Linked DNA regions of Arabidopsis thaliana. The protein of the gene in region 2 interacts with the protein of the main gene of each other region in a pairwise test. Each region holds a gene or a part of one and is shown on either strand. Other genes may lie near its edges.

What was found.
Region 1: the proteins of AT2G16710 (region 2) and SEC5A interact in a two-hybrid assay, tested with the Arabidopsis thaliana proteins (one large-scale study listed by BioGRID).

The regions. Positions count from the first base shown.
Region 1 is NC_003070.9:28,846,168-28,853,983, reverse strand, and holds the start of SEC5A (exocyst complex component sec5), read right to left. Parts: upstream 6,114-7,816; 5' UTR 5,972-6,113; coding exon 5,546-5,971; exon of another isoform or gene 5,262-5,545; coding exon 5,107-5,261; intron 4,999-5,106; coding exon 4,913-4,998; intron 4,787-4,912; coding exon 4,592-4,786; intron 4,511-4,591; coding exon 4,383-4,510; intron 4,304-4,382; coding exon 4,145-4,303; intron 4,005-4,144; coding exon 3,900-4,004; intron 3,645-3,899; coding exon 3,570-3,644; intron 3,365-3,569; coding exon 3,227-3,364; intron 3,135-3,226; coding exon 2,949-3,134; intron 2,821-2,948; coding exon 2,692-2,820; intron 2,561-2,691; coding exon 2,434-2,560; intron 2,351-2,433; coding exon 2,140-2,350; intron 1,739-2,139; coding exon 1,623-1,738; intron 1,506-1,622; coding exon 1,277-1,505; intron 1,050-1,276; coding exon 956-1,049; intron 863-955; coding exon 785-862; intron 698-784; coding exon 641-697; intron 513-640; coding exon 363-512; intron 220-362; and 2 more. Other genes in the region: AT1G76840 (uncharacterized protein), read left to right, coding at 6,696-6,963, 7,078-7,143, 7,222-7,418. UniProt on the Arabidopsis thaliana protein: Component of the exocyst complex involved in the docking of exocytic vesicles with fusion sites on the plasma membrane during regulated or polarized secretion. Involved in polarized cell growth and organ morphogenesis.
Region 2 is NC_003071.7:7,246,189-7,250,951, forward strand, and holds AT2G16710 (Iron-sulfur cluster biosynthesis family protein), read left to right. Parts: upstream 1-1,954; 5' UTR 1,955-2,105; coding exon 2,106-2,316; intron 2,317-3,524; coding exon 3,525-3,642; intron 3,643-3,722; coding exon 3,723-3,825; 3' UTR 3,826-4,101; downstream 4,102-4,763. UniProt on the Arabidopsis thaliana protein: Involved in the assembly of mitochondrial iron-sulfur proteins. Probably involved in the binding of an intermediate of Fe/S cluster assembly.

The DNA.
Region 1 (7,816 bases), on a different chromosome or scaffold from region 2:
TGTATGTGTTACGAGGAGGTCATCTGCTGAAACAGATTGCTTGTCATCTGAAACTGTGTCTTCGCTGCCACGAGTTGGTCTACGATTATGCCCTGGGGTCTCGACTGCTTCACTGATGCTCTCTATAGCTATCTCCAACACGGTTCCTTGTAGAGATTTAAGAGACTCGGTTGCAGCGCTTGTAAAATATGAATACAGTACTGTTTCAAAATATTCAAGCTGCAGCAGTTGTGATGAAAATTCAGAATTAGCAAATCACAAATCTGCAAAGCTTCTCTGCTTCTGTAAAAACAACTTTGTTTCTCATTATGAGATGAAGTTTTTGTTAGTGAGCATCTCTAATGATGAAAAGAACAAGTTACCTCAAACATCAGTTGGCAGAAACCATTTGCATCAATTGATCTTAGGTCACTTGATCTGTTTTCTTCCACAACACTCAGAAAAGTGTCGATTAGACCTTCGATCAGCACGCCAAGAATCTTGTCCAGGAGGGGTTTAGCACCAGCAAAGACCTGCAGTTTTATTTTCCGGTGCAAAGTTATTAGGATTTTACACTATGAACACTGTCGAGGAACACATTTTAATGTCAAAATGTCTAAAGAACCACAAAACGACCAATAATTTTTTTTCATGAGTATACCTCTGCATGGACAGCTACAAGAGTGTGCAACAGCTCAACAGCAGCATCTCGTATGCCCTGGAAGATTGGAGTAAATATTTAAGTAATTCTTTTCTTCATTCAAATCAAGAAGCTAATAGATATCGTTTCGCATAGATTTCTTACTTTCACTTGAGGTGCTGATCCCCATTGAATACCAGAGTCCAGCAAATAATTTGTGGCCGCTGTTCTGATCAAATTTGCCTGAACAGGTGAAATTCTCGGAAATTTAAAGTTCTATTTATAACACTTAGCAAAAGCATACATAGGCTAATATGGCTGGAAAAAAATTAATACCTTAGCAAAAGTGTAATGCTCGAGGACCTTCTCTCCGAGTCCAGAGAAAGACATTATTAGATCTTGAAGATCACTACTGTCTTCATTTTTGTCTCTGAATAAGTGAAAACACAAAAATCTTAGTTTAGTGAGCTATAACACCATATACAAAATCCACCCATGAGAACAGTATTTGATTATGAATCACATCAAATTTAACCGTTAATACCTATTATCCAGTTTGACTCATTTAAGTATGCACGAGTATGCCCAACTTGTTTACCACTTAGTAAAGACGATGTTCAGAAGAGCACTAATGACGTTTATTAAGCAGGGACTAACCTAGACTGTAACCATGTATATTTGAACTTGTTGTAAAGCTCTGAAGCAAGTTCATCTTTGCAGTAACCTATATTACTTAAGACCATCAACAACCGCCTGTGAGGATCAATTACACTTCCGTAGGTGTTGGCTGATGGTTCTTCCTGATGCTCATCAGAATATCCGTTTTTCCAATTATCTTGTCTGGAGGTGCTTTGGGAAAGATCAGCACCAATTTGCTCCAAGTGCGCTGGCATATGGTGAAAGCAAATTAGCATATCAACGTAACCACTTTAAAGTGTGCATTTGCCTGCATTCCGGTGTTTGCATGAGGATATTATCAAGGATGCTTGGTTAAAATTCGTACCAGCAAAATCCAGAAAGCAGTTCAAAAATGCCAGTCTAACGGATATTATGATTTCTTCAATTTGGGCAAACATATCTTCTGATTTGGCAGCTTCACTTTTGACAGACAGAATCATCCTGAAAAAGGTATACACGGAAATCAACAGGTTAACAAAGTAAACACTGTGGTATGAAAAAAGTACACATTTGTATATGCAGTTTCCTGAATAGCAATGAGAAGCATATAAGACCCCTTTCCTATCATACAAACATGGTACAGTCATTTGATTTTACATGTCTCAGCATAGAATTGGTAATCACGGTATGACAAGCTAGAATCACAATTACTGACTATTGGCATTTTGTTTTTTCTAATGTATACAGAAAAGACTAGACCTTGATGTATGTACTGGAAACATAGACGTCTGGAACTCCAAATACAACAAATAGAAAAAACTGGGGTTTTTCACTTCCACAGTGTAGTAAACCTCACAATGTAAATATTTTCTATATGTTACCAAAATACGGTTGAAACTTACAGATTGACTTGTTCCATGCCAGAGACAATAACTGAACGGAATGCAAGAGGCAAGTAAGAGATGGCATATGGAGATCTATTCCTTTCAAGAATAGAAACCGGGATCCACGTCTCCTCTTTTGATATTCCTTCCGTGGAGGCCCTCATCCAAGAGCAAAGCCTTTGGATATAAATCTTAGTGATTTCCGCCTGGATTTTTCTCAGTGCAACGACTGCCATAACCAAAAAGGTTATACAGCATCTTAGTCTACTTAAATTAAACAGCAAGCTCAAGCTTCAGAAGAAGTTCAAATACCAGCACTGTGGGGCGTTGACTCTTTGGCTTCAAAAGCTTGGCATGCTTTTGATACTTCGTTAATGGCATCACTCATAAATGGGCGGAGAATGCATGATTCATCAAAATCACAAAATGTGCTGTTCACCTACAACAGCAGTAATCAGGAGAAGAAAATATTTAGAGCCACTTTATAGCACAGATACCACAGGATTGTCCTTCTAATGTGAAGAAAAGTTCCAATGAAGAGGTCACTTAATTAGAAAACAAAGATAATACCTTTGCTTCATAGACAGAAATAGTCTTGCGTATCATCCCAGCAACTTCTTCCAAAGAATGAGTTGAATATCTTGCCTCTGTGACCTTCTCCTCAGCTTTATTGGCTGAAGTATCAGTAACTTGGGAGGACTAAGCAAATCAAAGTTAAATTCAAATCAAATGAAGAACTATTTCCAATTCAAGAAAGAAATAATAACTACAGAATTAATCTACTCTTGGGTCAGTATAGGGATCTAAGCAGAAAGAATAGCGGATACCTTGGCAAATTTTCCACTGAAAATAGATATAGCTGTTTTCCAAAACACAGGGATATGATGCACAAGCACAGCAGTCAATCTTTTGATGTATCTTCCCTTCAAAATATCAATCTCTTCGCTGGGGAATTCCACTGATTGTAGGTCAACTTGAACTGCATTATTTTCATTAGAAGAGGCGGTATCTGACTAGAGGATGAAAAAACAAGGCACGTTATCATCTAAAGAACTGAATATTGAATAGTCTTTTAATGATATATCATTCTCAATGCTAGACTCACATATGAAACGCCATTTTGTTGAATTTGTTGCCACTTTGCATCTGAGATGGCTTTCTCATGAGTGTCGTTACGCAAAATTTCCACCCTTGCTTCATGATCATATGTACATTTCTCAAGCAAGCCGTGGATTCTATGATTCTGTAATTAAAGAGCCAATTATGAAAATACACGAGGATTGCAACAAAAAGTGTAGGAGACATATAAATGTGCTAAGTTGAAACAAATGAAAGATTTTATAAGCTAAAAGTCACTCTGATACTCAAAGCAAATCTATTAGGAATCCAGATTCCACACAGAACATAGTAAGAAGTAGTAAAAGAGTGACATCTTCGAATATACCGACCTGAACATTTAGATAATGCCACACAGGATCAGATTCGGGTTCCAGCTCCAGCAAAAGCCTCACAGTGTTTTCCAGCTAAAATAAGAACAGACCTCAGATATCAAGACAAAAAAATAGACTGGAAAAAAATTTAGTCATTTTATTTAGTAGGTACAACAACTGGGAAAATGTAAAACGGGATATCCTAAATAAAAGTTAACATTCATGATGGCTGCAATATTGACATGATATCAGTAGTATGGTTAATGCATTTGGTGAATATTTGAATGAAGGATTGTTCAGTTTAATTACTAGTTGACATTAAAATAAAATGAATTATAACTGACATACACTTGTAAAGTCTATTTTCGGATCTTCCATAGACTTGTATAGTGTGCCTTTAAATTCCAGCATAACTTTCTCAACCTCCTCGAGTACACGCTTGAGTATATTAACCTGAAAGCAGCTTGTTTTTCTATATTGTCAAGAGCCTTGTTATGTAATTAAATTAAATCGTAATAAAAAGAAGGCTCAGTGCTTATAGGAATGTGGATAGGATCTGTCTCAAGAGAGTGTGATTGAAAATTCAGGCATACATGAGAAGGTAGAGCAATAGATTTCGCCTTCTTGTATTCTCGAACAGCCAAATCATATTCACCCTTGCTAATACTGCTACGAATGATACTGGGTAAATTGAACAGTGTCCGGAATCTCTGAAGCATTCCTTGGACAGACCTGATTTTCTCAGCTTGAGCCTAAATGTGATTTTGAAAAAGGCTTCAGCAAAATGAAAGAGAGTGACAAGCAAAAGAAGTAAATCAGAATCACACCAACCTGTCTCTCAAAAAGTGGCTCAAATGCAAGATTGGCCCTCGATGTCACACTTTTCATACAATTAAACAAATGAGTAGTTCCTGAACCTTCGGGGTCTTCTTCAATCCGCTTCAGTTTTGACTCAATATCTATTAAGAAAATCAGTGGTCAACATGAAAATGAAAGAAGAAAAAAACATAAATTATTCAGTTGGAAGTAATAATACATACCATCAATTGTTGTTTTACATGAGACGAAGCAGTCAAAATTGTCCTTCACCAATTGTTTCCTTTGCAGATTCCGACCCTTTAAGTCACTTTTCAAGCCAAGGGCACCAGCCTCCAAATCTGCTGCAGTCGTGTCTTGGTGAATACGGGAAAGAAACAGCTTCGGATCGAAATGATCAGAGAAGTAAACCAATTTTTCTGCAAATACTCAGAAAAAGATACATAACAATTAGACAACTGGAAATTGTACATCGAATTAGCCCTCCAAAAAATTGTAAGTGCTACTGTTCACTCGAGTTGTAGATATGGTAAAGAAAGACATACCGCGAAGAGTATTATCCACTTTCTCAGCTTTTGATGGGCTGCCTGACGACTCAGTGATTAATCTCAATGTCTTATTGTCTATGATCCTATGAAGTAGACAAATTCAGGTTTAGATATGTTCTACCATATCAAAGACAGAGTACAAAGCATCTGACTGGCTTCCATGGTAAGCAAAACGAAACGAGAGCAATTACCCTAATTTTAGTGGATCAATACATTCCATTCCACGAGGAAGTGACTGCAAACTAGTCAGAGCCACTTTCTTCCCAGGTGCAGGTGCTTTACCTTCTACTTTCTGAACCACGGGTGCTGTTCTCGATTCCCTCATATCACGAACCCTACGAGCAAGCTGCCAAAATGCCACCGGAATTTCAGTGAAAATGGTCATCTTTCCACTTATACATCCATATGATGCTATGGTTCTAAAATCACTAATGGCATGCTAATTATCAAGCTCTCTATATCAACTCAACACCAGAAACTATGGATAGCATTCACCGTATCCCACGAATGGTATTGTTCAGTGTCGTACAATTCAACAAATAGATCAATATATCGAATTCAAACTCTTGAACTTGATCGAACAAGCAAAGCCATAAGCATTCACTGATGAATCTCGCCACAAATACATACCTCAGCTTCATTAACCCGTTTCCAACAATCAGGCTCTCCTCCATCCCAAGCACCATCATCTTCCTTCCTCGCTCTTCCCTTCTCTCGTACATCGCTACCTCTTCCTCTCCCCGCACCACCACTAGAACCACCTATTTCCCTTTCCCTCTCCAAATCATCATCCCCGCTCGAAATGCTAAGCAATTCCACCTCCGACTCCTCATCCTCATCCATGGAAGGCTTCCTAACCGCCGCAGCAGACTTCTTCGGCGGAGCGGCAGCCGCAGCCACAGGCTTCTGCTGTCGAGGCTGCTGCACTAAATTGGCAACAGGCTTACGAGCAGAAGATGAAGGAGGTTTCTGATAGGTGAGATCTCTCTTAGCCTGCTCTTTCAACGCCATTTGAAGAAGCTCATCTTCGTCAAGATCATTGCTATCGCTCGACATGTTTCGGCGATTCAGATGATCGATCTCAGTCTCCTCCGCCTTGAGCTATAGTTAGAGATCTGAGAAGCTTTAGTTTCGATTTTGAGATTTCAGTTTGTGATTTGTGTGACAATTTTAATTTGTTTTTTTTTTTCTTCCAGAAATATTGATTTTTAGATTAAAAGGTGTAAACGTGGAAAAATCAAAACATGGCGATGATAAGAAAATAATATTTTCCGGTGTGGTGGCTTTTTGACCGGATAATTTGGTATGAAGGACAGACACACAAGATGTCAGTAACTCGATTTTATCCTCAAAAATGACTCTTAGATTAATTTAGATTATTTGCAAAAAATTATTACGTTGCGACGTGATTTGTCCTTCTCTGAGATATACATTTTGAATACTGGAAGCAATGAGTAATTCACAGAAAAGTTGTTCCAGTATTGACTGTGAACGAAATGGAGCCTCTGTTGAAAATGTCAAGATTCAAGAAGCTAAATGTTAGATTGACAAGGAACTCTTCGAGACATAATTCATTTGAGGCTCCAATAGTAGTTGAAGAAAATGAATCAAGAGTGCATTAAGGATAAGCCATAAGGAATGATTGATGATTCACCTTATTTCCTCAGAAACCAAAGGTGCAGGATCTGTTATGATTATGAGAATGTTCTGGATTCTACACTGGAAAAACCAGTTGATAGTTTCTCAAATAATAAGCACTAAAGAGTTGAATTCTGAACTTATGGAAGGACAACGTGAAGAGAAAATTGAGCGAGACACAGTTTTAATATCTGCAGTTAAGGAGGACAAAGAGGAAGTATCATCACACTCTGTACTTTTTGTCAAGCGCTTATCACCTGCTTCAGTGCAAGTACCAGTGAGCAGCACTGAAGCTGAGCTAGTCGTGTCTACTGGCCGTTACCTTGTTAAGAATATCGTTTCAATATCTATTGCTGAGAAAACTACCAAAACTAAGAGAGAAACTCTTATTTGCACTCCTAGATCTGAGAGTGTAGCTCTATAGAAGGTATATACTTGTATTCATTTGATTTGAGTTACTTTTTCAGTTTTATGGCTAAACTAATTTTGTTCTAATCCGTGTTTCTTTCTGATTTTAATCACAGCAATCTTGGAAAACTCAGTTGAATGTTGGAAGGAGATTCACTCAAACAAAGATGATGATGTGAAAGGTTCCTTAGAGAAGGAAGTACAAGCAGCAACTTTACATGGAAACTTTTTTGAACACAACACTTAGAACAACAGTGCAGAAGAAAGAATGGAGATAACTAAAGTCGGTTGTGCGAGTGTTGGTCATTGTCTGAATCTAACACCAGAAAAACTTATGGATGAGTACACTCAGTTGGAGCTAGAAGAAGCAGTCGGCACTAAAGTCAAGAGGCTCTTCCGAATAAATGAAGACAGTGAATCAAGAATTCGTAAAAGAAAAGCCACAAGGAATGGCTGAGGAGGAGGACTTACTCATACATCTGAAACCAAAGCTACAAAACATGTTATGGTTTTTTACACTAAAAGTTTCAGGTCATATTTCACCGGTAAGTAACACTCATCAAGAGGTGGATTCTGAACCTTTGGAAGGATAACATGAAGAGAAACATGAGCAAGACACTATTATGATGGATGTGATTAAGGAAATATGTATGTTGCATGGTATTAGTCGTAGATGAGTCCTTTATTGGAATTGAAACATTTGTTCAGTCTTTTGGTCGAATTACTGCTAGTTGTAAAACAGAAGAGTAATATGTCTATACAAGTGTGTAAATAGTACTCTTTTGTGCCAAAAGATTTGACTTAGTTCCTCCTCTGTTATCTTAATAGATTTTACAACTTTTTGGGTTGAGTACT
Region 2 (4,763 bases):
CAGCATTACAAGTAAGATCGTTACATACCATATTCAGTTTTGATATAGATAATCTGATTATCTAAAACTATTATCCAAAATATATTTTAAAATACAATATTTAATGAAAAATAATGTTGATTTGGATCTACATAGTCCATATTTTCCTATGAATTCCCCACACGTCACATTGTCAATTACATATTTGCTTCTCTAATAGACACCGACATACCAAATCAACAAATCTTATCATCATCTCCACTTTCACTCAGAGAAAGAAAGAGAGCGACCATATTTTTATCTGAATAGAAGAATAAAAACGAACGTATTGATCTTTTTATTTTTTATGACTTTCTCTTTTCTATGCATACTCCGACCAAAGCCAGCTGTTTGATTCTGTAAATCAAATAATGAATTTGTACTAAGGGGTTTAGACAAATTCACTTCTTTCTTATCTCACAAGTAATCAAAGGAAAATAATTAGGATGTTTGAATAAAAAGTTAGGGTTTGCTCTTTAATAGTGGTCTCTTGAATTAGGTTAAAGATGGATCTAATAGATGGCAAAACCCTTCTATTTATACAATGAATTCAATATATCAAAATATGATAAACTTCTAATTATCTAAGAATTAAATCTTCATTACTTCTATTCTGCACGAGATCCTCTTCTCTGAAATGGAAGTCTTCCCTTTACAAGGTTTAGGAAGTCGGCTGGGCGACCTCAATTGTCAAATTAGGTCTTCTGGCGATCTCATAACTTAGGCCGATTAACAGGCTAACCGGGGTACCCCGGTTAAATCGAGTTCTCGATTTTATACACATTTTCCTCCGATTTAAACCGGTATTGTCGGAGGTGCCAATTCCTGCACCAACACCAGCCATGCATTTCAAATGAGATAATCCTTTATGAATATTTTCGAATGTCATGCAAGATCTAGAATGAGCATTAGGTCTCAACTATGGCTTGTACAGGGCCGAATGAGTAAGCCCAAAAGAGGGTGATGTGTAAATTGAAGTCCAAGTCTTGTACAATGCAGCAATACAAGAGAGAGAGTTCTTCTTGTGGTTGTGTGTCAAGTGTGTGTGATTTTTTCTGTGATCTTGTAACACATTCGTTTTTACTTTCTTAGTGAGATAGAAAGAGTTTTTTGATATGTTTCTCCTTTGATTAATAGGGAATGTAAAGAAGTACAAACGGCAAATATATATCACTAAGAATAGAAAAGGGAAACCCTTAAAACTACAGTTACTTGGCATAATAGATTCATTCATTAGCCATGATCAGTCACACCCCACGCGACTCACAATGGGATAATCTGAGTTACAAGAACAGAGTTCCGCACCACATGTCTTCCACCACAAACCAAGTAACAGATCCAAAAAAATTTTCAGCAAAAAAATGCTTTTAAAAATCCTTGTAAATTTTTTAAAAACTCTTTTAAAAAACATTGTAAATTTTTTTAAAAGTTTTGGTAGTTGTTATAAACCCTTGTAAATCATTTTAAAACCTATTAAAATCTTTCTAGAGTCTTTAAAAACATATGTAAATACTTTAAAACCTCTTTTTAAACCTTTGTAAATCATTTTAAAACCTTTTACAATAGGTTTACAAGATTTACAAGAGTTTTTAAGAGTTTTAAAAGGATTTACAAAGATTTTCAATTATTTCTTTTTCTTTTTATTATAAGGGAATCTTAAAAGAGACCACCATTGCTCATGCTCTTAGTTTTAGATTTTATGGTGCTATATACTTGAATAGTTTATGAAAATTGGTTACCTTTTGTAATTCACCGATTATTTTTAAAATTTATTTGTCTGTTTTTTGTTTGCTCCGTAACTTATACGGCAAATTCGAAAATAGTTTAAATATTCAACACTGATAGTACTAAAAAAATAATATTTTGGTATATAAACGAGACGAGTCCAATTTAGTTTTAGTATATTTATATATCTAAATATAATTTGAAGATATTTGTATTTCTTTAAGCAAAAGAAAACAGACTTGTTCATTTTCCAACTTCGGTTTAGAAAAAAAAAAGGAGACGTCGTCGTCTTCTAGCTTCTGATTAAGTCTGATAAATTATGCCCCTAAATCTGTAATTCTCCAAGGATTCGGATTCGATCGATGAAAGCTTCTCAAATTTTGGCGGCTGCAGCGGCGAGGGTTGGACCGGCGTTAAGGAAGCAAGTATTAACCTTAACGGACGAAGCTGCTTCTAGGGTTCATCATCTCTTGCAACAGCGTCAAAAACCTTTTCTCCGATTAGGCGTTAAGGCTCGTGGCTGCAACGGCTTGTCGTACACTCTCAATTACGCCGGTAAAACTTCTGGGAACGGTTTCAATTTCACCGCCTTTATTGTTGTTTCTCTGGTTTTTTTGGGTGGAATCAAGTTTCAATTTTTATTTTAGGTTTTTGGGTTGAGTTTTGAATTTTGATCTTGTGCTGCGTTTTGTTCCTATGCCTCTATTTGATAGCTATAGGAGGAGGAGATATATAGTGTGTTCAAATTGAGATTTTGAGTTAGACTTTGGTAAAATTGAGATTGGGGAATGTTTATGATGTGTGTTTAATAGTGATGAATTTGGTTTTTGGGTCATTGATGATTGTTATGTATCTAGTTACAGAAGTTTATGAGTCATATACAGGGACAATATAGCTGAATGCATACGTTCTCTTGAGTATCTAGATCTTCGCCACAGTTTCGTCGATGAGAAAACCGTATGCGTTGCTATGTCCCAAGTGCTATCTAGTTTACAGTGAAACTTTCAATGGATGTTACCAAGTTTCAATTGTGAATTTAGGGCATTGATTTTTTGTGAGTTTTAATCTTGTGCTGTGTTTTGTTAGTTTTCCTCTATTTGAGAGCCATAGCATAATGAGATATTGATACAAGAGGTAAATTTGAGATTTGGGAATGCTTATGATGTGTGTTCAATCATGATGAATTTGATTTTCTTGGCTCATCAATGATTGCCATGTATTAAGTACTACTATCTAGTTATAGAGTCAATGATTATGTGGATGTTTCTTGTCTTATGAGACAAATTCACGGTTTAAATGCATAGTTTCCCTTAAATTGCGAGCTCTTCGTCTCATAGACGAAAAAGTCATATGCATTGCCATGTTCCAAGTGCTATCTACTTTAGAGTAAACAAATTGATGAATGTTTGTTGGCCTCTAAGTGTGTAGATATTTGGCTCAGGTTTGGTAGACACATATCATTTTTTGTTCTCAAACTTGATTGTTAGATTTGGTAGATCTGTAACATTTTTTTGTTCTCAAACTCGATAGTTAGGTTTGGTAGATACGTTCGTGTTTTCAAACTTTTTGGTAGTCAGGTTTACATTCAATTTTGTTTATATCTGTATAACTGAATGTGAAAAAGTGTACACTAGTATTAATGTTTCTCTATCTGCCCATTAGCTAATGCGTAGTTTCTCATTACAATCTCTAAAAATTGTCGTTATGCTATGTTACATATTGTTAATTGTGTGTCTTGAGCCATTGTTTAACATACATTTCTCTGCGTATATTTGTTTCAGATGAGAAAGGTAAATTTGACGAGTTGGTAGAAGAGAAAGGTGTGAGGATCCTTGTTGAACCAAAGGCCTTAATGCATGTGATTGGAACAAAGATGGATTTTGTAGATGATAAACTCAGGTTTGGACCTCTGTCACATTTCAAACGCAAAGTCACTTGTCGATTTCTAAAACCATATTAACCTTTTCTTTTCATTGCAGATCAGAGTTTGTGTTTATCAATCCTAACTCACAAGGACAATGCGGGTGTGGTGAATCGTTTATGACAACATCTACCTCTAGTGCTAAGCAGAGTGCTAGTTAACACACAGTGATGCGTTTACATTTGTGATTACACTCATATATTATACTGTTACTGGAATTGGCGTTAATGAGAAACAAATACTTTTTAATAAGAATTGAGTTTTATGTTTGTGCGCTACTTTCAGGCATTAGATTGGTCACTTTATTGCATATACACATTAGAAGCTCATGTTGTTGCTTAGAGATATTTCTGAAGCTATGTATTTAGTGGAACGGATAATCTTGAGATTAATTAATGTATTCCTTATCCCCAAAGTTATAAAATGTTGGATTACATAAACTATTTTTTATGGTTACTACTTTAGACCTTAAGGGATAGAATTTGTTTCTCTTGTATGTGTCTAAGTCTATTGTTGGCAAACTTGTTAGAGGATTTCCAATGGTGCTTTAAATCCTATATTTTGGGTAAAATCATCTCCAATGATACTCTACGCTTGCTCCACATGAGTAGAGCAACACTATTCATTTTCTCTGTTTTTGGGGCACATTTCTTTTATTTACAAAATATTTCTTCAAATGGCCTCTCTATAGGAATTGGTTAACACAAATCCATGAGATTGCTGATGCATTTGAATCTTGTACATTCCGTCATATTGCCACAAACGCAAATCTGATCGCTCGATCCATTTCTCGGAGTGTGATTGAAGACAGAAGGTTTCAGTTTTACATAGCACTTGGAGCGAGAGCCTTCATGGCTTCACAATCAAGTGTTTGAGAAGAGTAAAGTTTAAATTTCATTTTGTATATCTCGTTGTTTCACTGTTATTTTGTTTCTGTTTCTGTTTTAATTTGGCTTTTGGATTTAACTTCGTACTTTATTACTTTTTCTCTTTAATAATTATCAGATGACAAAAAAAATTCAATATATTAATATTTTATACCTAAACAAAATTATATAATTACATTTTTTGACGACAAAAAAAAGGAATATATAATTAC